Linked DNA regions of Stegostoma tigrinum. The protein of the gene in region 3 purifies or fractionates together with the protein of the main gene of each other region. This does not show direct contact. Links are inferred from orthologs where the notes say so. Each region holds a gene or a part of one and is shown on either strand. Other genes may lie near its edges.

What was found.
Region 1: the proteins of yap1 (region 3) and rapgef2b purify together in Homo sapiens (affinity purification with mass spectrometry; 3 studies listed by BioGRID and IntAct, with this or other methods). This does not show direct contact. The link is inferred for Stegostoma tigrinum from reciprocal best matches to the Homo sapiens genes YAP1 and RAPGEF2.
Region 2: the proteins of yap1 (region 3) and rassf8b purify together in Homo sapiens (affinity purification with mass spectrometry, with the first as the bait; 3 studies listed by BioGRID). This does not show direct contact. The link is inferred for Stegostoma tigrinum from reciprocal best matches to the Homo sapiens genes YAP1 and RASSF8.
Region 4: the proteins of yap1 (region 3) and amotl1 purify together in Homo sapiens (affinity purification with mass spectrometry; 8 studies listed by BioGRID and IntAct, with this or other methods). This does not show direct contact. The link is inferred for Stegostoma tigrinum from reciprocal best matches to the Homo sapiens genes YAP1 and AMOTL1.

The regions. Positions count from the first base shown.
Region 1 is NC_081354.1:38,387,288-38,395,816, reverse strand, and holds the start of rapgef2b (rap guanine nucleotide exchange factor 2), read left to right. Parts: upstream 1-4,965; 5' UTR 4,966-5,622; coding exon 5,623-5,691; intron 5,692-8,529. UniProt on the Homo sapiens protein: Functions as a guanine nucleotide exchange factor (GEF), which activates Rap and Ras family of small GTPases by exchanging bound GDP for free GTP in a cAMP-dependent manner.
Region 2 is NC_081378.1:48,631,891-48,640,226, forward strand, and holds the start of rassf8b (ras association domain-containing protein 8b), read left to right. Parts: upstream 1-5,028; 5' UTR 5,029-5,221; intron 5,222-8,336.
Region 3 is NC_081359.1:1,795,045-1,803,077, forward strand, and holds the start of yap1 (transcriptional coactivator YAP1), read left to right. Parts: upstream 1-4,692; 5' UTR 4,693-4,957; coding exon 4,958-5,487; intron 5,488-8,033. UniProt on the Homo sapiens protein: Transcriptional regulator with dual roles as a coactivator and corepressor. Critical downstream regulatory target in the Hippo signaling pathway, crucial for organ size control and tumor suppression by restricting proliferation and promoting apoptosis.
Region 4 is NC_081359.1:47,170,380-47,178,309, reverse strand, and holds the start of amotl1 (angiomotin-like protein 1), read left to right. Parts: upstream 1-4,507; 5' UTR 4,508-4,588; intron 4,589-7,930. UniProt on the Homo sapiens protein: Inhibits the Wnt/beta-catenin signaling pathway, probably by recruiting CTNNB1 to recycling endosomes and hence preventing its translocation to the nucleus.

The DNA.
Region 1 (8,529 bases), on a different chromosome or scaffold from region 3:
ATTCTAGAGGTGGGGTGAGGATGACGGCCTTTTACAGTAAGGCAGCATTTGACCATGTGTAGCCTTGAGAATCTCCTTCAAAATTGAAGTAAATAGAAATCAGGGGAAAAGTATTCATTGATTGGAGTCAGGCCTAGCACAAAGCAAGGTAGTTTTGGTTATTAGAAACTAAAAATCTCAGTCACAGGATGCTGTTGCAGAAGTTCCATGTAATAGTATCTTCGGCCCAGTATCTTCAGCTGTTTCATCAGTGATCTTTCTTTCATTGTAAGGTCAGAAGTGGGCAAGTATACTGATGATTGCACATGTTTGACACCATTCAAAACTTCTGTTACTAAAGCAGTAAGCACTACAACAGTCAGACTCAGACTGATAAGTAGCAAGTGGCATTCAAGTCCAACAAGTGCAAGGTAATGAACATCTCAAACAAGGAAGAATCTAACCATTTTCCCTTGACATTTAGTGACATTGCCATAACTGAATCACCACGATCAACGTCCGTAGTATTACTAGTGTCTAGAAACTGAATTGAACCAGCCAAATAAATATTGCATTTACAAAAGTAGAACAAATGCTGGGAATCCTGTCTCCCAGTGTCTATTCACCATTTACAAGGCATAAGACAAGAGTGTGATGAAATTCTCTCTATTTGCCTGAATGAATGGAGCTCCAACAACACTTGAAACTCAACAAATTGTCATTTGATCAGACCCTATCTTAAACATTCACTCTAGGCATCAACAATGGACTGTCGCAACAATGTTACAATATAAGAGATGTATTGTGACAACTTACTAAGGCTTCTTCTCACTCTCAAAGCTAATGACATCACCTAGAAGGACAAGGGCAGCAAATAGGTTAGATGCATGTGAGCACTCCAACTTGCAAGTCTCTCCCCTCCAAGCCACATATGATGTTGACTGCAAACTGTATTTGCTCTTTCACTGTTGTTGCATGAACATTCTGGAACTCCCTTTCATTTTCAATGAATTACAGAAGTTCAAGTACACAGCTCACTGCTACCTTCTCAAGGGTAATTAGGGATAAGCAACAAACGCTGGCCTTGCCAGCACTCCCAGATCCACAAAAGGATAAAAATACTCACCGTATCTAGTCAACCATGTATAAATATTTATATAGTCATAGTCAAAGCCCACAGCACGGAAACAGACCCTTCGGTCCAAGTCATCTATGCTAACTACAGATCCAAATCGGGCCTTGTCCCATTTGCCAGCATTTGGCCCATAGCCCTCTAAACTTTATATTCAAGCCATCCATGTGCCCTTGAATGTTGTAATCACACCTGCCTCCACTGCTCCTTCTGGCAGTTCGTTCCACATATACCCCAGTATCTGATTGAAAACATTACCCCTTTTTAAATCTTGCCCTTCTCACCTCAAACGTATGCCCTCTAGTTTTGAACTCCCCCGCCCAGGAAAAAGACCTTGGTTATCTACCCTATCCATGCCCCTCATGATTTTATATAACTGTGTAAGATTACCTCCAATGCTCCAGGGAAAAGAAAACCCCAGCCTATTTAGCCTCCTTCTACAACTCAAACTTTCTTGTAAATCTTTCCTGTACCCTTTCAAGTTTAACATCCTTCCTATTGAAGGGCAACCAGAATTGTACAGTATTCTAAAATTGGCCTTACCAATTGTGTTGAGTGCTTCCCCTATCCTAATAGCCATCTCTCTCAAAAAATAACCTTTGATAAGCAGATCCAATGCAGGATCAGCTTGCCAGTTCAGATTTTTCACAAATTACAGTAATGAGTGTTTGCCAAGAATGACCTCTGGAAGTCAACTTGCATTCTCATGTATGGAGCAGTTGTTATCATCACACTCCTTTGCTGCAATGAGACCTTGAATGTGTATCGACAACTCATAATAGCACATAATAAATTCCATTACCAAAGCCTCTACTACTTCCCTTGGATTCAATAGGACTATTGTGCAACAAATGCCGCTGTTGATCTTACAGTGTACTCAAATTGTCAGGCAAACCTCTTGTAAAATCAACTTTGATGAACTGGATGCTGTGTCCAGATGGCAAAGTTGGCTCGCAAAAAGGAGCCTGAGCTACATGTTGCCTGCCATTTTAACACACCACCCTGCTCCCTGGCCAACATCTCTGACTCTGGCTTGTTGCAGTGTTCCAACAAAGCTCAATGCAAGCTGGAAGAACAAGACCTTATTTACCCCTTGGGGACGCTGTAGCCCTCCGGATTCAATATGGAGTTCAATAATTTTATGGCCTAAACTCTTCCATGTCCTAGCCCCCTACCCCAAACACCAGGTCTTGTTATCACGTGGCCTGCCATTACATGCTATTTACTGTTAGTCACTAACGGTCTCTATTAACAACAATTCGCCCTTCCAGCCACATGGTATCACCTCCTTTGTCTATCCAACTGCTGTTCTCTCTCTTCAGGCTCTATCCTACCATTTACTCCCTACCCCATCCCCTCCCTATTTTCTGCGTATAAATTGATGTTTTCCCAGCTACCATCAGTTATGGGGAAGGGTCACCGAACCCAAAATGTTAACTCAGATTTTATATTCATAGCTGCTGCCAAAACTGCTGAGCTTTTCCATCAACTTCTGTTTAAGCCCCTGATCGTCCTTTCTTTGCACAATCTATAGAAACAGTAAGATTTGTGTAATAATGATGCTGAAAAGACAAAGCTATTAATTATCTGTCCTAAATTAGTAATTAATTTTGTACTCTTAAACATACACAACACTCATTAAAAAGTGCATCAAGTTCCATTCTTAAAAATCAATTTATCTAATCCTCATTAAATATAGAAATAGTACCAGAGTATCATTGGGTGGAAGTTACTGAAAAGCATCTATAGGGTCAAAATGGACTTCAATTTGGAAAGGTATTGGTTTAATCTTCTGAAGAAGGGCCTCTAGCCTCGATGCTAACTCTCTTTTCTATCCACAAATGCTGCCAGACCTGCCATCTTTTTGTAGAAATTTCTGTTTTTATTTGTTTCAGATCTTCAGCACCTGCAGTTATTGAGTCATAGAGATGAAGAATTTGCACATACATAGATAAAAAGTAAGTATAGTGGGACAAAGCATCACTTCTCTTTTAAAGAGAAAATATGAACACAATATTTTGAATGGCCTCCTATTTTGAAAGTTTCCATTGCTTTCTAAGTAACAAAAGTGGAATAACAATATTAAGAGCTTTAAGTAACTTAATATGACTAAGGAAAAAAGTGATATCTTTAACATCTTGTTAAAATATATAAATCTCATGAATAATTTTGAAAATGAAATAAAGAAATAAACTTATAATGAAGACTTTTTTTAAGTTTCAGATGTAACCTTTGGTCAGAACATTAACAAGACTTTCCTCTTTCCATGCTTAACAGCTTTTGTGTTTTTTCCTTTAACTTTTCCATGGATCAATATGCCACACCATAGGATCCTGTGACGTATTCTTTCATCTTTACGGCATGTGTTGGAATTCTTCCTCTTTACCTTTTAGCTATTTTTTGGAGTAGAGGAGGATCTGAATGAAAAGACAGTTGCATGTTTTTAGGTTAGTTCTTTGCAAGCACAGTTTTATCAAGAGTTTTATTTCCTTTCTTCAGTCTCATGTTGCTGATTTACAGCATCCGTAGTTCTTTTTGTTTTTAATCGAGAACAGGAGCTTCACAGTTTTGAGTTTCCATCAAAAAAACAAATTAAAGTAGGAACCGCAGATGCTGGAGAATCCAAGACAACAAAGTGTGGAGCTGTGCTCCTAAGATGCTGCTTGGCCTGCTGTGTTCATCCAGCTCCACACTTTGTTATCTTAAAAGTAGGAAATGATGTATGGTAAAGGATTATACTTTGTAGTCAGCAGCAAATGATTGGCAATGACCATTCTTTACCATTGCTGGTAGACTTCTTATGATAGATAGCAAATGATAGATGAAAAGAGCCAAAAATTTCCCCATTTACTACAGAAGTTTTGTAAACAGGTAGACAACTGTACACCTCTGCAATAAGCAGGCTCTGAATCAGAAACTGGCATTACAACATTGTACTTTATGTTAAATCAGTTTCAGAAAGCAAACTTAATGAAAATTGGATTGAGAAAAAAGGACTAAAGTAAAATATTTTATTTAATTTTTTCTTCATTTTCAATGAAATTTGGCAACTAAATTGTTTACCTATCTCTTTTTCACTATTGGGAGTTCTAAAAAAAAGTCAAGAATGCAACAGCCTCTGTTCCTCATTTAAATACAAACACATTCAGTGACGGAACCATTTACACAATAGAATACAGCGCAGAATCAGGCCGTTTGGCCCACCAAGCCTGCGTCGATTCCAGTCCTTATTTGGACCCGTTACTTAACGCTTTCTATCCCTCTTTTCACTTTCCATTCAAGTGTCTTGTCAAGATACGCCTTAAACGTTACTAACGTGCCTGCTCTCATCGCCGCCACTGACAGTACATTCAAGGCACCCATCACCATCTATGTGAAAAACTTGCCCCTCTCACCTTGAACCTGTGCCCCCTTGTGGTCTGGAGCATGGATTTTCCTTAGAACCGTAACATCATTGTTGATAGTGCCACACTCATTCCTCTTAATTCATTATTTCTGAATTTCACTAACAGTTTGGCTATTTGTATTTTTAAAAATAAGCTTTTTGTAATTTCATTTATATATATAAACTTCGTAAACAAATGGAACATGTTGAAACCCGCTGTTTTCATAACGATAACGCTGAGTTTAACCCTTGGCGAGAAGCATGAACGTGTCTGCCCTCTTCTCGTTCGACTTTTGCACTTTTAATTTTAACGATTCCATGGTTAGATATAGTCACACCACAGCACCTCGTGATACATCCTGTCATCTTTATGGCATGTGCTGTATGTTCTTTCTCGTTGCCCCTTGGCTGCTTTGGGAGGAGACAACAAATTAAGGCACCATTTTTTTCTGGATGATCTGAGTGAGGAGGCGGTAGAGAGTTTTTGGCCGAGCTTTTAGCGAGAGTTTAGTTGTCATTAGTTTTCGTCCCTCCTCCATCTCCTTTCTGTTTCCAGGAGATTTTCACTTTGTGATGAAACAAAGGGTCCAGTGCAGGTCGTTCGTATCTGATTGAAATTAAACAACAACGAAATAATTTGACATCGACATTTAAACAGCGCTTTGATTAGACAACGCATTTAGAAAGCACTTGTTATTTTCTGGATTATTCCCGAAGCTGTCCAGGACAAGACAACGAGGCGAAATTATTTGTGGTTTAATTATAAAAATAATCCGATGGATTATGAAGCATCCCAAGGAGCTGGATAGAATCGGGTATTACTGCGAAGAGTCGTTGCTTTGTACAGAGTGGGAGCGGCGGGTGCCGCGCGGACGGTTGTGGTTGTCAGGGCAGCTCCGAGTTGGCGTTCACATTCCAGAAGCCGACAGAAGCTTCTGATCGCGGTGACGTCTTTGGGGTTGCTCCAGCTACTTGAGGCCGATCTCGGGCCTGCGCTCTGAGTGCAGACATTCCCAGGCGTCTCTCCCCTCCGAGAATTAGGAAAGTAGCGCTGCCGTAAAGGGAGGCTCGAGTCGACTCGAGGCCCTATTATTTTATAGGCCCGCACCGGGTCGAGGTCGGAACCATGGCGTCTTACGTGGATAATAACTTCAGACAAGCGGTCATGAAGAACCCGGCAGAAAGGACGCAACAGGTATGAACAGTGGGCAAATAATCGCAAGTATCGATGCTTTGGTAATGGGAGTACGGCTCGCATCTGATGGGCACCAGCGGCCCATCTTGCCCACCTCTTTGCTGGGTTGTGGTGATTTCTTTCCCCTCTTGGTTGTGTGTACGATGAAAGATATGTGACTCCCCCCCCCCCCCCGAAGTATAGTAGATTATTTTAATTGTTTTCCGGTTTTTTTTCCTTGCGCATCTCGTTGTGATTTGAGATTCACGTCAAGGAAGATTGTTCCGCTAACAAAGCTCTCTTTGCCCCTGTCACTGTCTCTGTACGGCGTTAAGGGAATTTCTGAAGCATTTCCCCGCTTCTCGAAAAATGTTATTTTTTTCATACTTTTTTTTTGTTATCCTGATCGATCCAACATCCACTTCTGAGAAACGCAGACTTAATTTACCATTTGTACCGTTGAGTTTTTATCATTTCCCAAATTTCTAACGGTGGATTGATGGAGTTTGGGATTGGATGTCAGCACCAGCATCACATTTAAAAATATGCACCTATGTTGTTTCTTATCTGCAATATAAACAAATTTATTTAGTGTGATTTATTTATTTTGATCGGCGACTTTGGATGACCTAAGTTTACCCCTTCTTGTCCGTACTATTTTTTTTAAATGCGACAGTGATCGGAGAACATAATCACATTTATTCGTTATTTATGTATAATCGCGTTTAATAACGAATATTCTTTCTTTTTTCAATCAATTCTGATTTTGGTAGCAGTAGGTTTAGCTTGTGCCCAATTATCCTCTCTTTACTTGTAACTATAATTAAGATTTGAAAGTTTTTTTCACTGTTGCTATGTTCTAGTCGTGAGAGAAATGGTCACGGTTTTATGCATCCACAATTGACAACGGGAATAAGTTGTAAACGTTTTTAAAATGATGAATGAGACTTTGGAAACAGAATAATTAAAGCATGTCTAGTCGCTTATGATAGCGTAATTGTATACAATCCAGGATGAGAATAGTGAAGCTTAATGGAATAAATTATATTTTTACCTTTTGATGCTTTTACTGTGGGAGGTTGACAAGAATCAAACTCACGTAGGCATTTGTAGTCTGAGATCTAGGCATGCGCAGTCATTTGACAGGAACGATATTTATTTATAATTCAGATTTCACTGACCTAGTGTCAGACATGTTATGTAGAGAAGTTTTTAATTTTACACGGAGTTATATTTAATGTGTAATGCTTGTGACCTTTGAGACGTTGTAAAAGATTAGGAGCCAATTTTATAATGTCCTTAGAGTGCACGCTTTGTAGGCCATTTAGCAGTGTTTTGGTAATTATATATGTATGTATACATGTATGTGTTTAAAAATTGCACTTAGTGAAGGGATGTCAGACAAATTCACATGTCCAGAAGTTGTTATAAGTACACTTCCTGGGAATATCTTAAAATCCCTTTTTCATCAATAATGCTTTGCAAAAGATCATTTATTCAAAAAATAATGTCAGTGAATATTTGCACCACTCATCATCTGAACTATTAATTCAACATAACAGTAATATTTCATTCAAAGAAATTTCATTTCATTATCATAGTGTTGTGCTCAGGCTACAGGTGACTTGCAACCAGTTTTGAATGGTTGTAGGTTTACTGAGGAACAACATGCAAAAATATTTTAGTAAGGTGACTATGTAGTGTTAATCACTGAAAATCTATTATTACATGACATGTTGGATAAATACAGTAACCTCAGTTTTTAACATTGTCTTCACAAAAAATGTTAAATTCTTATGACTTGCAATGCAGGATTAATTTATGACATAGTATTCTGGCAGACATTATCTGAATTTTCTCTACAGTATCAGTATCATTGTAAATTATTTTTATTTAAATTGAGGGGATCTAAACTACTTGTGTATTTCTTAAAACTTTGTATCTGTCCATACTTTTTGCAAATTTTTGTGATAAGTTCCAATGTTTATAGTGCAAACTGCCTATGTGAACTGCAATAAGATTCTACCCCACCTCCCCCTACACCTTTGAATCTTCCCTCTGAGCTGTGTTATGTGCAATAACCTGAATGTTCCTGTGCAGTGTGCTCACAACCTGGTCTTTTTTAAGTTTTTATTCTGGATGTGCAGCTCTGCAAAAAACTTACTTGAAGATTACACAAAGCAAATTGCCTTCAATGAATGGTAATGATTCAGATTTATTTTTCCTTGTTCCTCAGCCTGTACTGAGAAGAAACTTCAGTGTTCCAATGAACATCATTTCTTGTTGCATGTTTTTTCTTTTCAACTATATATCATATAAAAGCAAAGTGTTATGTAAAAAGTAAGGCCAGAATGTATGGTTTCATGTCAGCCACTGAATTATGTCTGTGCACCCTGTTTTAACTGACTTACAATCCTTTTGTTCAAGTTTACCTGGCTGACTAAGTAAAATGTCACAGGAGATTACTAATAGTTTAATCGTGATTGTATGTACTAATAGGCAAGGATATAGAATATTTTAATAATCTGACCTTTTTACTCATATGCTTTGATAAAGTCTAATTTTGTTTTAGATTTCATTTTGTGATCTAAAGTCATCAGAACCTTCTGAAATATAAATACAAAATACAATATGATTGCATTTAGAAAATATTGATATTTCTGAGTGGGCATTTTCATGCCTGATCGCATTTGTGCATAATAAAGAAATAATGTAGAATTTGTTTTGCCAAGTAATGTTTATTCCATTGTTTTCTTTATTTAAAACTTGCAGAAATAATTTCAGATAAAATGATTGTTCTGCATTTTGCACAGAACAACCTTTATATGCTTGCAGTCCAAACAGCAGAACAGTGCCCTC
Region 2 (8,336 bases), on a different chromosome or scaffold from region 3:
TGAAAATTAATATCGTCAAGACCAAACCTCCCAATGGAACCATTGTCCCTCAGTTGCTTGATGCTCCTTTAGTTGCCTGCCTAGGTGAGAGAGAGAGAGCTATGCGACCTAGCCCTGCTCTTTCTGAACGTGTAGTCTGTCAGAGGCCAGTGTAACTTCCTTTAGCTGTGATGCTCAGCGGTGCAGTTGATGTCTGAAGTATGACTACCTCCCCTTTATCCTTCCTTCCAGCCCACTCAAATAACGGCAGTCACACCGCACGGCTGCTTTGGGTTTCCTTCTCTACCCAAGGGGTGTTGATCCTTGCAAAGCATTTGCCTCCTCGTGACAGAGTAGGGGCATTTTAAAATTCAGTGAAATGGACTACCCGTGTACCACAGAGAGCTTGTTAGACACAGCCTTGTCTAAAAATAATACCAGTACACGGCAGCTGTATGTGTCACTTAGAATTAGCCCTGTCCTCCAGAATGAGTTGCATTGTTAAATCGAAGTCAGCACATTTACTGACAGCTTGTGATTTTGTAGGAATGGGCGCAGTGCCTGTTAAATATTTAGTTTTCATTATATCTAAAACGTCCTCTTAATCTTACATTGCATTTGTTTCATGTCTGTGATGCTGTTTAATATAAGAAATTACATATATATACTGAAATAAACCTTGCTTCTGTGAATGTGCTGACTGCTTGTCAGAAAATATCCATGGCTATGTTATTATGTTGGGTTCAGTGATTTCTATAAATCCATAAGCTTTCATTGTTGGCACTGTGAGACAAAGGAGCCTTGGGGTTGGCGATAGTGGATGAGAGAGTGCAAATATAGCAGTTATGTTATCAGACCGTAATTCACAGGGCTTTGGGCTCGGAAGTTTTGAGTAAATCTCAACACAGTATTGGAGGAATGCATTTTCAATCGAGTTATCTTTTCAGACTGGATTAAAAATCTTGCCACAATAATGGTGACCAAGAAACTATAGAACAATAGTACAGCATCCATCTCATTCACAGATTTCCTTTAGTGTAGGATAGAAATGTGATATCAAGAAGCATTCAAGAGCATATTGAATGATTATTCAGACAAAAATAATATGTAAGGGTATGGGGGGGGGTGGATTTAAAGCAGGAGATTAGGAGATTGGCATGAGGAAATGAAGCTGGTTTGAAGAGTTGATGCAAGCAGAATGGGCCAAATGGTGTCTGTCTGCATTGTAACACTTTTCAGTGACCCTTACCCAGTCTGGCCTGTACATAATTCCAGACCCATAATAATGTGGTTGGCTTTTAAACTGCCCTCCCCTTTAAAATAGCCTGGCAAGCCAAAGTTAGATTCATCATCATCTGACAATAAGGCGGTGAATGCTGGTCCCATCAGTGACATCTGTTTCCGTGAATGAGTTGGTGGGGGGGCATGGTGTGCTTGGACACACCATGCCCCCCCAGAGTCAGAGGGTGCAGTGAAGACCAAAGCTCCCAATTCGTAATTGTATTAACATACAGTAAAAAGTAAAATAAAGTTGCTGCGCTCCCAATGGGCCCTGGAGCTGCAGCTTCATTAGAAAGAGATTGTGGTGGTTTAACCTGAGAATCACCACTCCTCAGGAAAGGGGTGAGGTTGAGAAGGAAGGCCCTTCATGTTAAAGGTAAAGTCGCTATAGTCCCAGGGGGCGTTAGGGCTGCTGTCTCATTGGACATGGAGTGAGAGACAACTGGCAGTAAGTTTAACCTAAAGGCCACCTTAGGCTAAGGTTAACCTTAAGCTCAGCTGATGTGAACAAGATAGGATGCTCATTGCAAACTTTTTGATAACCTCAGCCTGAGCGGGAATTAGGCCCATGTTATTGGTGTTACTCTGCATTGCGAATCAGCTGTCCGACAACTGAGCTAAATAACCCTTTAACATCCATTGGATATGAGGACATCTTCTCTGATTGTAAACATTGTGAGGGCTCACAAAAGTTTAAAGACTGGTATAAGGATGGCGTGGCCTGGAAAGATGGATTACACTGGTCCTGCGAATCATCTGCAAATCCTTCCAATGCTCCATGTGTGTCTCCCGAGGAAGCGTGCGGAGAAGTGAATAAACACCAACCAAGGATGCAAAGAGTCGCAAATGTTTGGGACTGGTACAAGGAATAAGGTTAAAGGTCACGTGGTTTCTTTCATGTGATAGGTGCGCAAAAACAGAGACTGGTGGCTTTGATTACCCGTCCCATTGTTGCTGTGTTGTTGCTTGGACGGCGTTTATGTTCTGTGCTTCATTCCTTCCTGTGGGAGTATGGGAGTGATAGTTCATTAAGTAGTGAGCTGATTCCTGTTCGCTTTCACAATGGAGGGAGTTGAGTGAGTGAAAAGTTGTACCTTGCAGGGGTTTTCTTGCTGTTTCATAAGGTTGCCACTCACACATTACTGTACCACGGCTTGACAGAATCCCAGATTCCAGAGTGTATAAAAAACAGCTCATCTCCAGCTTTGTGCTGACATCTGTATGTGACCTTCCTGTAGCTGGTTCCCATCGTACAGATCTCCGCTCCGTGGTTTCTGTACCTCATAATCTAAATTATATCCAGTTACAACGTTCTAGGAAAAGCCTTTTAGTACTTTTCCATTGGCCTTGCTTTGTGAACGTTGAAACTCTGTTGTCTGCATCACCTTGCTTGTGTAAAGACTCTGGCAACCTCCTGGTCATGTGCTAGTTGTGTATTTGCACCTTGCCTGCTTATGGCCAGGGGAAGCCCAAGTACAAATTGATCATTATAGATCATTGTCTCAGAGATAATGGGAACTGCGGATGCTGGAGAATTCCAAGATAATAAAATGTGAGGCTGGATGAACACAGCAGGCCAAGCAGCATCTCAGGAGCACAAAAGCTGACGTTTCGGGCCTAGACCCTTCATCAGAGAGGGGGATGGGGAGAGGGTTCTGGAATAAATAGGGAGAGAGGGGGAGGCGGACCGAAGATGGAGAGTAAAGAAGATAGGTGGAGAGAGTGTAGGTGGGGAGGTAGGGAGGGGATAGGTCAGTCCAGGGAAGACGGACAGGTCAAGGAGGTGGGATGAGGTTAGTAGGTAGCTGGGGGTGCGGCTTGGGGTGGGAGGAAGGGATGGGTGAGAGGAAGAGCCGGTTAGGGAGGCAGAGACAGGTTGGACTGATTTTGGGATGCAGTGGGTGGGGGGGAAGAGCTGGGCTGGTTGTGTGGTGCAGTGGGGGGAGGGGACGAACTAGGCTGGTTTAGGGATGCAGTAGGGGAAGGGGAGATTTTGAAACTGGTGAAGTCCACATTGATACCATATGGCTGCAGGGTTCCCAGGCGGAATATGAGTTGCTGTTCCTGCAACCTTCAGGTGGCATCTTTGTGGCAGTGCAGGAGGCCCATGATGGACACGTCATCTAGAGAATGGGAGGGGGAGTGGAAATGGTTTGCAACTGGGAGGTGCAGTTGTTTGTTGCGAACTGAGCGGAGGTGTTCTGCAAAGCGGTCCCCAAGCCTCTGCTTGGTTTCCCCAATGTAGGACCGCTTTGCAGAACACCTCCGCTCAGTTCGCAACAAACAACTGCACCTCCCAGTTGCAAACCATTTCCACTCCCCCTCCCATTCTCTAGATGACATGTCCATCATGGGCCTCCTGCACTGCCACAAAGATGCCACCTGAAGGTTGCAGGAACAGCAACTCATATTCCGCCTGGGAACCCTGCAGCCATATGGTATCAATGTGGACTTCACCAGTTTCAAAATCTCCCCTTCCCCTACTGCATCCCTAAACCAGCCCAGTTCGTCCCCTCCCCCCACTGCACCACACAACCAGCCCAGCTCTTCCCCCCCACCCACTGCATCCCAAAATCAGTCCAACCTGTCTCTGCCTCCCTAACCGGCTCTTCCTCTCACCCATCCCTTCCTCCCACCCCAAGCCGCACCCCCAGCTACCTACTAACCTCATCCCACCTCCTTGACCTGTCCGTCTTCCCTGGACTGACCTATCCCCTCCCTACCTCCCCACCTATACTCTCTCCACCTATCTTCTTTACTCTCCATCTTCGGTCCGCCTCCCCCTCTCTCCCTATTTATTCCAGTTCCCTCTCCCCATCCCCCTCTCTGATGAAGGGTCTAGGCCCGAAACGTCAGCTTTTGTGCTCCTGAGATGCTGCTTGGCCTGCTGTGTTCATCCAGCCTCACATTTTATTATCATAGATCATTGTCTAACGGCTTTGTTTCTCAGAACGACAATTCAGCAATCCTTTGTTATTCTCCCATACATTACACTGCTGTTGGTTTGCAAATGCTATTTCCAGGCAATCAATGTGAGGGAAGAATTTGTGATTTACTGTTTGATGAACATGTCAATGGAAAAACTTGTTGGAATTGTGTCCAAAGATGCTTGGCAGAAATTTGAGCAAAAAAATGTTGTTTTGTATCCCAAGCTAACTCGAATGGTGTTTCCTCCCTTCCTTCTCTCTCTCCCCCGTGCCGCCCTCCCAACCACTTACGTCCTGCAGTGGCTTGTTTGTTTGTGTGCGTTCTCCTATATTCCTGACTGACTACCCCATTTGTACTCAGAGTAACAGATATGGCTAACAATTCAGCAGAGAGTGAGAGGGAGAGAAACTTCTCAATTTAAGAAATCCACATGCCAGACTTTGATTCCCAAGAACATCGCTGAACAAGTTGTCCCCCTGGGGTGTGGGGATGGTGGGGGAGGGAGTGCAGTTGTGACTTTGAAGCCATTCCTTTAGACTCCTGTCAATCAGCAGAGTCCAGGCATTTGAAGCTCAAGAAGCAAACTCTGACCCAGCTCCCACTACAACTAGACTCTGTAGACCTCTCACCGGTGTTTGACTGCAGAAGGGAGATGTAATTCAAAACCCATGATGACCGAAGAGGGTTAACAATGCATTATGTCGACATTTTACTGCTGTAATAGTACTCTGGCATTCTGCACAAACTTCAGGGAGGAAGTTAGTGCAACATGACACCAAAATACATACCACCGTAGCAACCCAGGCAGCAGAGAGAGCCAATATAAGGGCCATGTCAGTTTATTGTATAATGAATCGTGTCAGGACAGGACATGTTGAACACATTTGGAGAGGAGACAAACACAGAAAGACAAACTTTAACCTTCAGAGTGCAATTCATTTCAAAACAGTTTCCAGGATTTGCTGAAGGACTGCTGAAGATGAATGTTAACTCATGGCCTGCTGAGTGAAGTGGAGTCACTCTGAATCCACCGGTTAGTGCTGTGGGACAGATGGTGTGTGTGTGTGTGTGTGTGTGTGTGTGTGTGTGTGTGTGTGTGTGTGTGTGTGTGTGTATGTGTGTGTGTGTGTGTGTGTGTGTGTGTGTGTGTGTGTGTGTCATTCACTCCCAATTAGAGAAAATTTCCTTGTGGAGCCGGTGAGGGACATTAGAGAGCCAATGCTGTTTGTGTCAGTGTTTTGTGGACTGCAACATTCCCTTCTCCATGAGACACTTCCTGCCACCGTTTTGAGTCAGCACAGAGTTATTTTGTGGCAGGAATGGTTTCTCAACCAGAATTACCCAGAGCACTGAAGGCCGTTTGAATGGCCATGCTGAATAGATGTTTCCTTGGGAACTGAGGGCAAGCGAGTTCCTTTGAAATATAGGAGCAGGAGCTGGCCATTTGGCCCTTCAAGCCTGCTCTGTCATTCAATATGATCATAACTGGTCATCCCAGTCAGCCCCCTCTTCCCACTTTCTCCCTGTACGCTTTGATCTCTTTAGCCCTAAGAACTATATCTAACTCTTCTTGAAAACATTCAATGTTTTGGCCTCTGTCACCTTTTGTGAAAGAGAATTCCACAAGACTCTGGGTGAAGAAGTTTCTCCTCATCTCAATCCTAAACTGATTACCCTGTATTCTTAGACTGTGACTCCTGGTTCTGGTCTGCCCAGTCATTAGGAGCATCATTCCCAATTTACACTGTCTAGTCCTGTTAGAATATAATCCTGACTGATCCAGTCTCTCTTTATACTTCAGTCCTGCCAACCCAGGAATCAGTCTGGTAGACCTTTGCTGCACTCCTTCCATAGCCAGGACATCCTTCCTCAGATTAAGGAGACCAAAACTACACACAATACTCCAGCTGTGGTCTCACCAAGAACCTGTACAGTTGCAACAAGACTTCCCTGCTCCTGAGCTCGAATCCTCTCATTACAAAGGCTAACGTTCCATTGTCTTCCCCACTGCCTGCTGCACCTGTATGCATATTTTCAGTGACAAGTGTACTCTCTTTCCCAATTTATCACCATTCAGATAATAACCTACCTTTCTATTTTTGTTACTAAAGTAAAGTAACCTCACGTTTATCTACAGTATGCATCACCTGCCTTGCATTTTCCTGCTCGTCCAACCTTAGCCAAATAACACTGAAACTTGTCTGCATCCTGTCCCACCCAGCTTTGTGAGTGAGATGGTTGAGATTGAGAACTGTGACTGTCTCTATAGGCCAGAGTGTTGGTAACTAGAGGGCACAGGCTTAGGATAAATAGATAAAATTGACATAAGAAGCAGAGGGAAATTGAAAGTTTTTTTGTACATGGACATAGTTGTGGAAAGGAATGTACAGCTTCGAAAGGGCAGTGAAAGCAGATGCGGCCATTCAAAATGAAATTGATTCAGATTAAAAGAGGGAACGTTTTTGAGAGCTGAGGGGAAGGTGCAAGGCAATGGACTAATTGAATAGTTCCTTCAAAGAGTCAGCACAAGCACAGAACGCCTTTCGTTGAGGATGGAATTGAAATATTTCATATTGCTAACAGGAAGAAAGGGTCAAAGCTCAAAGTCTGGGCTGAATGGCCTCCTGTCCTCCAATAATTCCATAAATTGGGCTAGCAAGGAAATGCAGTTTCTGAATTTATCAATGTCCTTTCTTCCAATATCAGAGATGCTCTGTAATATCTTGTATGTCAGCTGTAGCTTGGGGGTACCACTCTTGTCTCATTTCAAAGACTGCGGGTCTGAACACAAAAATTTAGGCAGCTGCTTCAATGTAGTATGAACAAGAGTTCAACTGTTGAAGACGCTATTTCTCAGATGAGATGTAGGGGCAAGGCCCGGTCTGTCTCTTTCTTGAGCACATGTGAAAGACTCTGTGACACCACATTTAAAAATGGCAGGACAAAATGGCAAGCCCGCATATACAGCTATGTCCTAATAAGCTGTTTATTTAGTGATGGAAGGTTGAAAATTGGTCTGGTTGTTGTTAGAACTCACTGCCCTTCTTCAAATCAATGCAAAGGCTCTTTCACATCCCCTTAAAAATTGTAGTTGGGACAGCACGGTAGTTCAATGGTTAGTACTGCTGCCTCACAATGCCATGGACCTGGGCTCGATTCCACCCTCGGGTGACTGCCTGTGTGGAGATTGCACATTCTTCCCGAATCTGTGTGGTTTTCCTATGGGTGCTCCAGTTTCCTACCACAGTCCAAAGATTTGTAGGTTAGGTGGATTGGCCATGGGAAATGCATGTTTATAGGGTAGCATGGTGAGTCTAGTTGGGATGCTTTTCAAAGGTTTATTCTAAATTCAGGCTGAATGGCCTGCTTCCACGCTGTAGGGATTCAATGTACACTACAAGGCCAAGCCAGTGCCTGTGACAGAGCAGCACCCACTCAGCAGTATCCTTGAATGCCAGTCAATGGTGTGCTCTGGGACTTGATTTTGACTCAACTTTGCTGCTACTGAGACATGTTCTTAACATCATTGAGTTGTTGTTGAGATATGCTTGAGTCTACATTTGTAAATCCAATCTGCTTAGGGGAATAAAAAGTCTACAAAACAAACTTGTCATATTTGTCTAATGTCAATACTGGTTGCCATTCTAATCCATCGATGACTAAAGACTTGGGATATGTGTATCTTCAAGATGTGTTGTGCTTTGGAGATTTGTAAGACATTAGCACAGTATAAATTCACTCACCCACTCATCAAGTCAGATGTTAAAACCTAAACAAGTGAGGGATGGTTGAAAGTGCTCAATAAACATGTTTTGGGAATGGAGAGCGTTGGCTTTTGATGTAGGTGTAAGGGAAAGCCAGGAACAGCGTATGGTTTGTGGTGACAGGCAGCCCAATCCAGCTGTGAGCTTTCTCTGTAATTACCACTATTTGGGTTTTCCTTAAAGTCACATGCTTAAATACCCCTGTCAAATTTCTATCCTGGACAGTTTCGCATGTGGGGTAGGTCAAGCTGCAACAGTATATTGAGAAGATTTCTGAAGAAGAGTCGAGGCCTGAAACGTCAGCTTTCCCGCTCCTCTGATGCTGCTTGGCCTGCTGTGTTCACCCACCTCTACACCACTCCGGGCTACAAATATTACTGTTTC
Region 3 (8,033 bases):
CTTTGAGTTTCACCGAGACAACTAGCATCAGCAAGGCATATTCCTACAAATCTACTCTGTCAGCTCACGACAGTCCTGATGTGATCACTTTCCTGAATTATTTTTCAACTAACCAACAACACCTTGGCTCATGGTTGAACCATTTCTGGGAAAATACTGAGTTTTAGTATCATCAAGATATTCACATAGCTTTCCAGATTTTGTAATTTTAGCAAGCTTCCATGTTGTCTTAAGAGGTCCTAGCTACTTTTCAGTCAAACACGAAAAATAGACTTCTCGAGAGAGATTAGTTTCTTTACCCACCTCCAAACCACGCAAGAGCATGATGAGTTCCTCTTTCGGGCTTGGCTAGCTTTTGTTTTATTTTGGAATCTGTGCAGTTTCCTTCACACTCCAGATTTCTTGGTTGTAGCTCTCCTTTGTATCCCTCAGCCTTAAGGCTTCTGGTCATAAGTTCCTTCCCGGGGAGAGCTAATTTCCTTTCTGGATTTGGTCTAAGCACATAGAGATATGGTTAATTCTTAACTGCTCTTTGAAATTGTGTAACAAACGATTCAATTGTTAGAGATTGTAGATGAAGGCCAGCCTTTCCAATGATGCCCATGTCCTGCAAGAGAATATAGAAAAAAAGCGACCTATTATAATAACAACAAGTGCTGCAAAATCTCAGCAGATCTGGCATCATCCATGGTGAGATAAAAACAAAGTTAATGATTCAAGTCAAATTTGACTCTTCAGAACTGATTCAATTGAGTTCTATGGATGCGCCCCTGAAGTTAAATGGAAAGACTGAAAAACCTGGGGACGTTCTCTTTATAGCAAAGAAGGTTAAGTGGAGATTTCATTGATGTGTTCAAAATTACTAATGCTTTAATAAAATAAATAAGCAAAAACTGTGGCAGAAGACTCAGTAACAAGATAAAATTTCAATATTTGCCAATGATACAAAACTTGCAGATGTGGAAGACAATGAAGAAGATACAAATAAACTGCAACAGGACACAGATAGGTCAGGAGAACAGACAAATACATGGCAGCTGGCAAATGGAATTTAATAGGGAGAAATGAGAAGAAGCCTTTTTAGAGAAGCAATATAAACATTACAATTCCAAACACTGTATAAGAATGTGAAAAGCATGAAGGTTCATATAGATAAATGTTTGAAGGAGGCAGGCATTTTGAGGAAATTAGTTGGAAAAATATGTAGAATCTTGTACTTCATAAATAGAAGTATCACCAGAATGGTTCCAGGAATTAGTTAAGGTGGAGAAACTGGGGTTATGGCCCTCAGTGCAAAAGGGATTGAGGTGAAATTTGATAAGAGGTACACAAGTGTATGACAGGATTAGAAAAGATAGACAAAGGAAAACTGCTCTACCTGATATTGTAGGGAGGATACAGATTTAGGGATTGTGACAAGAGGTGCAGGGGCTTGTGAAAAAAAAACTTTACAATATTGTGAACAGTAATGAGTAGGGCATGCTGTTCAAAAGAACCAGCCCAGGAGCAATGAGTCAAATGGAGACACGACCCAAAATGTCAACTTTCCTGCTCCTCTGATGCTGCCTGACCTGCTGTGTTCCTCCAGCTCCACACTGTATTAACTCTGACTCCAGCAGCTGCAGTTCTTGCTATTTCCTATCAATGAGCCAAATGGTTGTCCTTATTGTCTTTGCCGTATTTTGATTCTATGATTTAAATAGTTCAGGCATGTGTTCTGCAGGACATGGCTCCAATATACTGCAGCATGCTTCCTGCCTAATGTACTTGGGGCTTCAGCATCCATTCGACACAACAGTAACATACAGAAACTTAAAATTTCCAAGCCTTTGTGTCCTTTATTGCAGATTCAGCATTTGCAATCATTTTACAAGCTTTCCTTTATTTGTGAGAGTTAAAATTTAGCAATGCTGGACGATCATGATGATTAAATATAGTACCATAGAAAACAGGAGCAGGAGTAGGCCATTCAGCCTTTGAATCTGCTTCGCCATTCAATATGGTCTCGGCTGATAATCCAACCCAGTATATGTTCCCACTTTCTCTCCATACCCCATGATCCCTTGAGCTCTAAGAAGTTTATCTCATTCGTTCTTGAAAACATTCAATGTTTTGACCTCAGTTACTTGCTGTGACAGAGAATTCCATAGGCTCACCACTCTCTGGCTGAAGGAATTTGTCTTCTCAGTCAAAGCATGAAAGGATAAATAATACAAACAAACGTGAAAAAAATCTGTTATGAAGTTGAAGTTGGGAGTAGAGAATAATTCCAATCATTGCTTTAGTTTTTCCTGATAGCTGTGATTTCTTTGAGTAGTTGTTCCTTTTGAGAGTTTTTCTACCATAATCATTTGTTTCACATCTGTAATGCATGATATCATGTGACCTACACTTTAATTGCAGGTCCAAAACGGCATCCTTTTGAATTTGAGTTATAACTTTGCCTTAGTAACTGATTCATTGTAACCATAAGGAACAGGCTATGATTTAAGGGGGTTATTATTTGGACATGATCATAAAATCACAAGAGACTTTTGGAAAACACAGCTTCATGAAATAATATTGGTGGAAAGCATTTATTAAAATATTTTTAAAACATGATTCGGCAACATCCAACGATCTGGTGCAACAATATTAATGCTTGCCTCTTCCGACAGAAACCGTGTTCCCGTTATACCATTTTTGACCAGGATAAGTTATGGGGCTATAACACATACTAATTTTGCTCTATTTTAAAGAAAGGTGGTAAATAATTCCATTTAGAAATGGGTACATTCCGTATCCGTTGTTGTCTGGAGGGGAGGGGTACAGGGAGTGATTTTTTTTCCCACTTTTGGTCGATCTCACCACTACCAATATGGCCTTGTCCCATCAAGCGAAAACTTTAAAATGTACCAAATGTTGTCATCACGCATCCAAAATAAATCAAATCCACTTTTTGAAACACTTCGTCATATCTGTAATATACAAACGTGAAATGAAACGGTAACAATTGAGAGCAGTCCCCACGGTGATAGATTTTCCCTGATATATTGCCTTGTATTCACCAGCTCCAACTAAAAGATTACAGAAAACACATCTGCCATGTGTGTGGTCTGGGAAGTCGGGCCGGTTAAACATATCTTCAGGGGAACCGCCATTAGCTACCAAAATGATTACTGTCTACAAGGATTTAAGAAAGCTCGGAAAGAGTACGTTTGCAGACTCTTCCTTAATAAAATTACTTTGTTTTATGGCTTGAGATGCGATACAATTCAGGGAAAGGGTGGAGAACTTCAGCCGTTAAACAATGTGATGAAAACTTTCCCTTCCTCAAACTCAAATATTGTGCGGTACGGTGTTCAGAATAATAACAAAACCACAGTTTACGTTTACACTGTTAAAACTTTGGAAAAATCTGTACGTTTATGAGTTTATGCACTTACATCATGGGACGCTTTCTCGCATGTTACCTGCAACTCATGTTTTTTCTGAGCGATTCTATCATTTTCTGTGAAATTGTTGTCCTGACTCGTGCAACGATATTTAACTACCTCGTGTCGAGCCGGTGAGTTAAAAGATAGGGAGACAGGTAAAACCGTGACCTGACCAAAGCATCATGAACAACGAACCACAAATTCTTCACAAGATCTGAAACATTTGAAAGACGGACAGAAAATACAGGAAATACTCAGCAAATCCGGCAGTATCTAGGGACAGAACCAAAGTTAATGTTTCAAGTCGATGATGTTTGACCAGAACAAATACTTACTCGTTTATTATAAAAATAATACATTTCTGTTCTTTTGTTCGGACCAATTTTCACACTTATTCTAATCAATATTTCTAAATTATTCCTCAGCGATTGGGCATTGAGCGGTTTTAATTACCTTTCTTATTGCAATGAGAGAAGATTTTAGGGAGAAAATATAAGGTTTTTTTTCTTTTTGCAGCCTGATTTCAAATATTGCAATGTATCTTTTACTGACTGTACCCTGAATTCATTGCTGCGGGGTTCCTTTCCTATTGAGGGCCTGGAATTCAGGTGCTTTCTGGTTTGTAATGGGTAACAAGGCACAGAGCAGGATCATCAGAATCCCTACATTGCAAAGAGGCCATTTGGCCCAACAAGTCCAGAATCAAATCCCGGTCCCAGGCGCTGTGAAACAGCAGTGCTAGCCACTGAGCCACAATGCCGTCCCAGTGCAGTCTTCACTCTGCCTTTTCAGTCCCGTTTTAAATACACCGTCCCTTATGATAGCACGGAAACCGCCAGTACAGACAGCAACTTCCCAAATGGAGTAGAGTGTAAGTTCGCCCCTTCATGTGGCAAACGTGATGGGATCGCCCTGTGAGGCGGCTGGAAGCAGTGAAGATCACAGATGACAGCGGGGAGGGAGACAGGGAGGCTGGGGAGAGAGAGATGGGGAAAGTGGGGGGAGGGAAGAGAGAGGGAGAAGAGGGAGAGACAGAAGAAGGCAGGGATTGGGGGCGGAGAGGTGAAATCACTGAGGTCGGTACCGTACAAACTGTACCACCGCGGCTGGGTTTGAGGTGAAACCCAATCTAAGTTAAACATTACACTCACAATTCTCCCCCACCCCCCGCCAGGGGCCCGGGAATGGACTCCGCCCCACGTGACGTGAGCGGTCACGTGCGCAGCAGGAAAAGTTGTGAAAGTCGCTGCAAACTTTCCCCGCGGGTGGGGGGGGGGTGGAGGTAAAAAAAAGGGAGTGCGCGCGCCACACACGGCTCTGAGGGAGAGAGCGCGAGCGGGCTCGGGTTCACCGGGCGGGCGGAGAGTTCCAGAAGGTTCCACTCGTGGAGCGCGTCGATGTGGGGCTGGAAAAACCTGCCGTTATCACCGGCCTGAGAGAAACCTCCGGTAGGGAGTGAGGGGGCTGGCTGGCTGACTGAGGGAGGGCACCAGGCGGGTGGCACCGGGACGCGGCAGTACAGGGACAGGCCGGTTTGGCCCATGGATCCGAGTCAGCAGCAGCAGCAGGGAACCGGGACGGGGCCGGGGGCGGCGGTGCCTCGGGCCGGCCACCAGATCGTGCATGTCCGGGGGGACTCGGAGACCGACCTGGAGGCTCTCTTCAACGCCGTGATGAACCCCAAGAACTCGAACGTGCCGCAGTCTGTCCCGATGCGGCTCCGCAAACTTCCCGACTCGTTCTTCAAACAGCCCGAGCCCAAGAGCCACTCCCGCCAGGCTAGCACAGACGGGCCGAATGCTCCGCCGCTGCAACCCCAGCATGTGAGGGCTCACTCGTCGCCGGCCTCCCTCCTCAGCGCCGCCGCTACCGCCGCCGCTCCCCCCGCCTCGGGGTCCTCCGGCTCTTCGGGCTCGGCCTCGCCCGCCGCTGCTGCAGTGTCCCAGGGAAGCGGCTCCTCCCCGGCCTCCGCTCACCTCCGCCAGGCTTCCTATGAGATTCCCGACGATGTACCTCTACCTCCGGGCTGGGAAATGGCGAAAACCCCCTCGGGCCAGCGATACTACTTAAAGTAAGTGATTCCCAGTTTATGTTCTCACCTCCCCCCGCTCCCCTTTTTAAAAAAACAAACCCTGTCCCAGGGATTGGGGGGGGGGGGGTGCAATGTGTTTGTTTCCAATTTAATTTGGGAAAAAGGCCAGCGGATCAAATTGCAACGGTGGGATAATCAGCCCTTGGTCCTCAGGATTGTGTTTGAAGTTTAGGAGTGTAAGTTCAGCCAACATCATTCTCACTTTGAGTGCCATGTTGCTGGGTGAAACTATTTCCAGTGTAACTTTACGTCCCAAATGCCTAAAAGAAATTACTATGTTGTAACTCTCGCCCAGGCATGTGTGTAGTAGTGACAGGATTTGATTCAAATCCGAACTGCTGAATGTGACAGGAACCGAAATCTTTGAACTGCAGCATCGTCGATCCTGGTATCGGAATGTGGTGAAAAGGAGCTGGTTTTGTTGTGGCTTGGTTATAAAGCTGCTCATTTCCCGTGGTGACAGGCGCCTGAACTTTGAAAGTTTGAAGGGAGACCTGAGAGAGTGCAGAAGCCTGCTTGCAATGCGGTGGGCAAAGTTCACGCCCGCCTTCTGCAATCCCGAGTGTTTCATGGTGAACGGGGGCCGTCCTTAAAACTTAAAATAAAATCCATTCACTGAGACAGTTGTCCTTGAGCAGTTAATTCATTTGAATGTGGAGGTGATGTTAAATTTAAATATTTAGTTGCCACCATCGCTGGAATGAGTGGGTTACTGGATGCACTTTGTATTTGACCAGCTTTGTATTTGGCGACACCCGTTCCATGCACTTACCCGGACTTTCAACTTTTACAATGTTTGAGTTTCGTTGATTTCGTATTCCACTAGCTCATTCCAAGATTTCAATCCCACAAAATACCGTTCATGTTTTAAAGTTTCGTTTCGTTTGTGTATTGTAAAAACAAAGTAAATTCATCTTTACGCAGAGAGATGGTTTAACAGTTGATTTTTTTTGAGAAAGACGTGTGATGTTATGGTTTTGAAAGAATAAATAAAAGCAGTGCGATCCGAACACACATTTGTGGAAATAGTTTTCCGTTTGATCCGATTTGAGGGAAGCTGAAATTTGCACAAAGTTTCACCCCCCCCCCGCCTCCCCGCGGCGAGGCTAGGCAGCGAGCAGTATCCATTTCAGAGTGTCCTATTACTTTGGGAACAATAGTACTCTGTCGTGGTCCGACTGTGCAAAAGTCCACATGTCTGGCAAGAGTCACTGCAGTGGGTCCAACGTTTGTTCCCTTGCAGACGGCTAGAGTCAGTTATTGAAGCAACGGCATGTTGACCGGGATGTTTCTTTGAGCAAAAGAGTAACGTGGGAAGTCGGGACAAAACCTGTTTGTAAAGTTTATGCACTTTGTAACCCTTCTCCCGCCTCGCGGGGGGAGGGGTTAATAGTCCCCGGAGGAGCCCGGTGAAGTACAGGCCCTTCGGCCGTCGATGTGGCGCCGATCTGTGAAACCAATCTGAAGCCCATCTAACCTACACTATTCCATTATCATGAACAGTAATATTTCTTGTGCCATGATATCTCACTTCTGGATAGAATTGTGGGAAAATTAAAAATCCATCACATCAAAGACTAAAAGTTCAATCTCATTATTTAAAGATCAGTTAATAACTCTGCATTTACGTAGCACCTGTGACGTTCCTGAAATAATATACGGCCACTAAATTACAACGCAATCAGAAGCAAATACTGCAGATGCTAGTAATGTAAAATGAGTGACCATGTCTTCGATAACATTAAGTACCTCATCACAGACAAACAACCTTGTAGCTGGTGTTTAATTACAACTGAATGGTCTCAAATGGTTACCCTAAATGGCAATTTTTAATTGTTACGGTAACATTTACCGCTGATCTGCCATTCCAATCAGGCCTGACTGCAACAGGTTAATGAGTTGTAAAGTGTGCAAGTTTGCGGGTATACATAGCTCAATGTATTATTGAGTTTTTGCAAGTCGGGTTTACTTCGAACTGTTGCACTAGGTTTTGCCCTTCTTGCTAGCCGTCACATTGTTTACAATTCTCTACAGTCATGTCTTTTAATCAATTCAGATACATCTTAAAACAAATCTTCTCAGCATCTCGATGCACCAACCACTCCAAGTCTAAATATTTAACTTGACTTATTATTGTCATGTATCAAGATACAGTGAAAAGTATTGAAGCTGTGCTTGAATCTGTTGGTACATGTTTTCAAACTTTGACCTTCTGCCCTGCCCAATGGAAGTGTATAACAGGTGGGAGGAGTCTTTGGTTACTTTGGCTGCTTTCCCAAGGCAGTGGGAAGTGTAGACTGAGTTGATGGATGGAAGATGAGATAACAAGGTGTAGAGCTGGATGAAGCAGGCCAAGCAGCATCAGAGGAGCAGGAAAGCTGATGTTTTGGGCCTAGACCCTCCTCCAGAAATCGATGGGTGGAAGATTGGTTTTCATGGTGGACTGGGCTGCGTTCACAACTCTAATTTCTTGTCGTCATTTGCCGTAACAAGTTGTGATGCATCAGCATAGGATGCTTTTTCTA
Region 4 (7,930 bases), about 45 Mb from region 3:
ATTAAAGGCCACAGCCTGGTAATTTGTACTGCCTGAGCGTATGACATTGGGTTTGAGTTAAAATGTAGAATTCAGATGCAGCTGTCTGCTCTTGCTGTGTTTAGGGTTGTTTCAAGTCCTGTCTTGCAGTCATGATAATCCTATGATGACGTAATTATTGACATGATACACACTCTCTCTCTCTCTCTCTCTCTCTCTCTCTCTCTCTCTCTCTCTCTCTCTCTCTCTCTCTCTCTTCCCCCCCCCCTCTTCTCTCTCTCTCTCTCCCCCCCCCCCCTCTTCTCTCTCTCTCTCTCCCCCCCCCCCCCCCAAGCATGGGGGGGATCACCAGTTTATTTAGATTCCCTTCAGTGTGGAAACAGACCCTTCAGTCCAACAAATCCACACTGACCCTTAGAGCATCCCCCCTCCTAATCTAGGCATCCCTGAATACTATGAGCAATTTAGCATGACAAATCCACCTGCCCTGCACATCTTTGGGCTGTGGGAGGAAACCCATGTAGACATGGGGAGAATGTGCAAACTCCACACAGACACTCGCCCAAAGGTGAAATCAACCCTGGGTTCCTGGCGCTGTGAGGCAGCAGTGCTAACCACTGAGCCACCGTGCTTTGAATCTTCTGAGAGCTACTTCTTGTTCTGTGTTCCATTAGCACAACACTTCCTTAACAGTGAGCTTGTGTAGATGTTCCTATACTGACCATAAATTAGGCAAGAACTTTGCTAAATAATTTACAAAATCAACAAATCCCCTTTTTGTTTTACAAGGGTGGCAAGGATCATCCAGCCAACTACAGGCCATCAATGGGTATGTCAATGGTGGGGAAATAATTTGGGAGGATTCTTCAGGACAGAATTTACTCCCACTTGGAAATAAGTGGGCATATTAGTGAGAGGCAACATGATGTTGTGAAGGGAAGGGTGTGTCCCACTAACTTGGTTGAGTTTTTTTTTGAGGAAGTGATGAAAATGGTTGAGAGTTAGGCAGTGGATGTTGTCTATAATGGTCTTCAGTAAGGCCTTTGACAAGGTCCCTCATTGGCAGGCTGTTACAGAAGGTAAAGTCGCATGGTATGAGAGGTGAGCTTGCAAGATGGACAAAATTGACTCAGTTATAGAAAACAGAGAGGGTAGCAGTATGTTTCTGAATGGAGGGCTATGACTTGTGGCATTCCTCAGAGATCTGTATTGGGATGCTTGCTATTTGTCAGATATTTGTATATAAGTGATTTGGATGTAAATGTGACTAGACTGATTAGTAAGTTTTGCTGATGAGACAAAGGTTGATGGAATTGTGGAGAGTCAAAGGATAGAGCAGGATATAGATCAGTTGATGACTTGGACAGAGAGATGGTAGATGGAGTTTAATCTGGAAAAATATAAAATGCATTTTGGAAGGTCTAATCCAGATGGAAAATGTACAGTAAATGGTAGAACCCTCGAGTACTAATAAGCAGGGTGATCTGGATGTATGGGTACACAAGTCATTGAAAGTGGCAACACAAGTGGAGAAGGTCGTCAACAAGGCATATGGCATGCTTTCCTTCATTGGCTGGGGCAGTGAGTTTAAAAATTGGAAGGTAATGTTGCAGCTTTATAGAACCTTCATTAGGACGTATTCGGAATACTGTGTTTAATTCTGGTTGCTACACTACCAGAAGGATGTGGTGGCTTTGGAGATGGTAGACAAAAGATTTACCAAGATGCTGCATAGTATGGAGGGGATTAGCTATGAGGAGAGGTTGGAGAAACTTGGGTTGTTGTCACTGGAATGACGGAGGTTGAGGGGCGACCTGATAGAAATCTACAAGATTATGCAGGGCATGGACAGTGGACAGTCAGAAGCTTTTTCCCATGGTGGAAGAGTCAGTTACCAGGAAGTTATAGGTTTAAAGTGCGAGGGGCAAGATTTAAAAGTGATGTGTGAGGCAAGCTTTTTACACACAGGGTGGTGGGCACCTGGTACTTGCAGATGATTGATGTCATCATGTCTAGTCCATATTTTGGCAGAAATTGAATGGTGAGTGAACTGTGAATCATGTGCACTTCTGGAAGGGGAGATAGTGGAAGCAGAAACTATAGTGACGTTTAAAGGATGTCTTTACAAAAACATGAATAGGATGGGAATTGAGGGATATGGTCCAAGGAAGGTAAGGAGTTTTAGTAGTGATGGGCAGAATGTTGGTGCAGGCTTGGAGGGCCAAATGGCCTGTTCCTATGCTTTAATTTTCTTAGTTCTGTAACTCCAATGAGTTCCTGGAATGAAGCAGAAGTGCTTTTTAAAAAAAAAAAGGACCAAAGTGGCTGTCCTCATTACAGCATCACGTAATCACTAAAGCCATTTCTTGAATATCATCATGGTCCAAAGACTTGTGACAGCCTGTCAGGAAGGTGGCAGAATTCACTGTATTTAGAGATGGTGCATCCTCTGTCTATGGACCCTTGGTATAGGTTGCTTTTCTTTCCATTTTGGTGACTGCTGACAGGGCCCGGCAGCCATTTTCCAGTTTCTCAACCCAAGGCTGCATCTGCAGGTGGCCAAGAGGTTGCCATTATCCAAATCCCCACAGCTGAATCTATTTCTCTGCCAGGTTTGCTGTGTCATCGCATAACAGGGGGACTCTTCAGTATGAATTGTTACTCTAACACATGCTTTCTCAACATAATCTACCCTGGCACCTCCCAACATTCTCTCAATAGATGCATGTGCCACTTGCCATATGGTATTATTGAGGCTCAATTTGAAATCCTGATTCCTAAACACCCTTCTTGACGCAATATGCTATAGCTGTGATGCCCCAGCTTCCCTACCTGCCCTGATAATTGCCAAGTACAGCATTGAGCTCAGCAGTGGATCCCATTTCTGCTGTAAAACCCACCAGAGCTCAGACTCCCCTTTTGTAAAACTCAAATAAGCTTGCATAGGTCATTTGCTTTGTTTAGCAACCGTGGGTAACTCACTTGCCAGTTTTCCAGAAATGCACATGATTCGCACTTCACTCACCATTCAATTTCTGCCAAAATATGGACCAGGTATGATGACATCAGTCATCTGTGCCAACACCACCCATTTGACTGTATGACCCCTGTCATTGCCCCCATGACCATTCACAATGGGGCTGGGAAACCTCAGCTGAGATGTGAGCATTGAGCATTTATTCAGATCCTGCCCTCCTAAACATTACCTATGCCAGTAAAGTGACTTTCAATTTCATTGCTGCTTTAATGCCAACTTTCCTGAAGCTTGGGATAGCCATGCAGCAGCTGTCAACTCCAGATTGGATGCAATGGCATATGATAGAGCCTCAGTTAAATATGTTCATGATGGTGATGCTTCTCCAAATCAGGATAATCACATGAAAAATAGGGAATTAACATGGCGATGATGAGACATTCTTCTTGAGATTGGATATACAAATGTGTTGCTGAAGTGTATGCATTGTTTACCTTCTCTTGATGCTGATCTTTCCAACCCCACCCACCACCTGGTTCTTATTCCACCTGTTTGTTAATACTGAGGTGCAGATGTTACTAATCCTGTTTTCGTCAGGTTTGCCTATTTTAAGTAGATTGCCTGGAAAACCTGAAATATTGTCCACTGCAGGTCACCTTGGTTAACATCTAAATTCATGATAGGATTGGCATTCCTTCCAAATATATAAAGACCAATCATTGTTTGAATCACCTCTGTGTTAGCATTAAAACAAACTGGAATTCCCTGTTATTCCAATTTTGCGTGACAATATCTGACTTGAAACATTAACTTTCCAATAGGGCAGTGAAACATCTGTGCTACGTGAAGAAAAGACTTTTATATCTGCACAAAAGGAAAGCCTTAGAGGTATTTCCTCATTTACTGTCTTTCTAGTATCTATGTTTGTATCTCCAACAATCATTTGAACTGATTTTAAAGCTGAACATATATAATTATCTATTTGTAAATGCTAGTAAGTGTAAGGTTGTGGCAGCCAATTTCAACAAATTGTTCGATGATGCTTTCACTGGGAACACAAGTGAAAGAATGTGCACTCACCCAACTATCAAAAGCATCCAACGTGTTCAGACATATATTCACGAAGAGAGCTTTGGAGAGCAGATGAAGGGATATGTAATTTCATGTGTATTCTGACATCATTACAAGGCAGCTATCTGATTTTGGGGAAAAAAAATTGCTTGTTAGAATTACTATGCATGAAAGAAACAAGCTTATATCAAATCCGTGAACAGGAAGCTTGATTGTTTTGGAGAAGCTTGAATTATATTTTTTAGAAGACATTTTTATCAGAATATGTTTTCATCCCCACCCTAGTGCAGCATTAGACCCATGAATCATTAAAAGATGTGAGGATGTATTTGGCAATCTAATCACTAGTTAGTTTATACTGGATCAGTATAAACATGCAGTAATACTAACAGATGACAGCAGGTTCAATCAGTGGCAGACACAAGTCCAGACATACTCCTGAAAGAGCCACCCTCAGTTGACTCATGATCGATTACACGAACTCAGAGTTCATTGCTTGTTTCAAATGCTGACGATAGTAAAGTAAGTGTTACTTAATGTTTATCATCAAAAGCGCTACACAAGGTAAGAACATTAAAATGGGGCTTGTTCCTAGACGAATCAACAGATAAAAATTCATTCAATGATCGCTGAATTTTTTTGTTTCTATATGATTTGAAGAAAATGAATTTGTGTATGGTGTCTTCTGATTCTATAATGTTCCTCGTGTCTTTACCTATGAGTGTTATGAGGGTTTTATCAGTCACAGGTCAGATGTACAAGGTGATAAGCACAACATTTAAAAAAGGTTAGAGTTTTAAAATTATTTCGATCAGAATATGGTTTACCTGAAACTATTCTTGGAACCAGCTGTTAAGTGGAATTGTTGCTGCTTAATTGCTACATTACAATGTCAGCTGTATTCATTTTTGGATCCTGCTTGCCTACAGAGATGGCCAAATAACAGTATATAATATGTTAATTTGTAATTTCTTTAATGCTATGTATGCATGTTTTGATCCTTTTTTTCAGGAATAATTTAACAGGACATGTTTAGACCATCTTTTATGCAGCCTGAATTCTGATTGTCTCCATTCTTAAGTTTATCAAGTTATGACAGTGTATTTAACTATGTGAAATATACCATTCCAAAAGCATTCTACTGCAATTTGATGTTTTAATATTTTTGATACTTACTGCTTTGCTGCTTAATAATGACTACCTCCACTCTATCTCAGCCATTGTCAGAGTTCCATGTCGTATTTGATTTATGATTCTAGTATGGCTGTCAACCACACAGTGCTGGCGCGTGTATGCCTGTTCATTACCGATTATGTTAACAATCCTTTTCACAAACTTGCCTTTGCAATTTGTTTTAAATTTGAATTTCATTTAGACTCTACTGGTAACTGTGGCCAGTGAATCAAATCATAAGTATTTAATTAATGGCTAGTAGCATTTATGTATGATTTGGACAATGTAAGAATTGGGTTCAAATAGATTTAAACTTTATTTATTTGTTCGAAACCAATAGATTCATTTGGGAATGAAAATAACTCAATTAATATTCATATACACATATCATCTAGAGACTCTGAAGAAGAGGGTTCAGAGGAGGTTTACCAGGATGCTGCCTGGACTGGAGGGCTTATCTTATGAAGAGAGGTTGACTGAGCTCGGTCTCTTTTCATTGGAGAAAAGGAGGAGGAGAGGGGACCTAATTGAGGTATACAAGATAATGAGAGGCATAGATAGAGTTGATAGCCAGAGACTATTTCCCAGGGCAGAAATGGCTAGCACGAGGGGTCATAGTTTTAAGCTGGTTGGTGGAAAGTATAGAGGGGATGTCAGAGGCAGGTTCTTTACGCAGAGAGTTGTGAGAGCATAGAATGCGTTGCCAGCAGCAGTTGTGGAAGCAAGGTCATTGGGGTCATTTAAGAGACTGCTGGACATGTATATGGTCACAGAAATTTGAGGATGCATACATGAGGATCAATGGTCGGCACAACATTGTGGGCTGAAGGGCCTGTTCTGTGCTGTACTGTTCTATGTTCTATGTTCTAAGTTTGCTTGTGGATAAACATTAGTCAACGAGAGGATCAAAATCTCCAAAAGTCAAAAAATGCCTGTCAAAATGTATAAGCCTTAATTGAATGGTTCCTTGTGGAGTAGAAGAGACAGAATGTAAAATAACTGGTGCCAGCAATGTCATTATTTCCAGAACAAATGAAGTGCCAGTCAACCGTGTCTGGCCCATAGGACGTGTGATAAATCACAGACCTTAGGCAGGATATCCTGCAGTAGTGAGGCCCGGTGGTGAACCAGAAGTATGTTCCAGCATTTGGTTTAAAGGGCTGCCAACCCTGGTTGGAGGCATATTCAGAACCAGAAACTGACTGGCAAACTATCATCATTGAGGCACTAATTGCACAAAATTAAGAGGAGAACATGTAGGCAGAGCATTTGCTATCATCCTGATGATTCTTGTGCCTTCCTAATAGCAAAGATGAAAGTATCCAGTTCCTCATCCAGGGCACCCACCACATCAGATCAAACAAACCTAGAGCGACAAGCAATGAAAGTGGTGAATGTTTGGATGGCCTCTGGCTCAATGATGACTCATTAGATGTTCACCTCTGGACTGTGAATGGCAGAATGTCCACATTCTGCAGAATAGGAACAGGAGGCCTGCACACTCGACCCAGAATGTCTGGATGGAGGTGGCAGAGGAGGTCAGCAGCCATGTGAGGACTTTCCTACTCTGTGAGAAGCTGAACAACCTTCTCTGTTCTGCAAGTTTTGTTCCTGATGTGAGTTCATAACTATGGAAGGGTGTGTGATGATATGCATAGGTAGTGGGGCATGGTGTAATGATTGGGCAGTGACCAGAGCACTTATTCAAGAAGATTTGCACTAGCACAGTGAGGAATGTATGCATCATGTATATTATCCTGTGTTATAGCTTACATGAGAAAGATGTGTGTCCAAAATGCAACAATCTCTTACTCAACTTAATAAGATAAGTGGAGTGTGCATAATCTTCATTTCTTTTCTCACAGGTCAGCCACTAACCCTAGCAGCTACCATCTCTGATATTGACCTCTGAGATGGATTGAACCATTCTAACCTTCCACCAGAATGCATATTGCTGTGGGTAGTAAATTATCATGGGTACAGGAACAGCTAACTAATAGAAGACAGAGTTCGGAATAAGAGAGGGAAGACATTATCAGACTAGCAACCTGTAATTAGCAGTGTGCTGCAGGGTTCAGTGTTAGGGCCACAATTATTTCCACACATTAATTTACCTCATCCAATTCATTAACATATATCACCAAGTTTGTGGATTACATAAAAATAGATGGGAGGATGACACACAGCCTGCAGGTGGACACAGATACGTTAAATGAATGGACAAAAATTTGTGTGAAATGTGAGTTAATGTACTTTGGCAAGAAGAATAAAGAAGCTGACAGTTATTTAAATGGCAAATGACTGTAGAGAGCTAAAACATAGAGGGATTTGGGAGTCCTCATACATGTATTGCAAAAAGCTAGTATACGTTTCAGAACGTGATTGGGAAGGCAAATGCAGTGCTGGTCTTTATTTGAAAATAGTGTCTAGTAAAGGGAATTACTGCTGAAACTCTATAAGAAATAAGTTGGACCACTCCTGGAGTAATGAGAAAACACTGTTCTGGTTGCTTTATCTAAGGAAAGGTGTATTGGCATTGGAGGCAGTCCAAAAAATGTCAATAGATTGGTTCCAGCATGAAGGAAAGGTTGGTAGGCTGGGCCTATATTCACTGGAGTTCAAGAAAATGAGAAGTGACCTTTATTGGAGTGTAGCAAATTACTAAAGAGCTTGACGAGGTAGACGAGGTAGATGAGGTATCTCCTTGTGGGAGAGTCTAGGATCAGATGACGT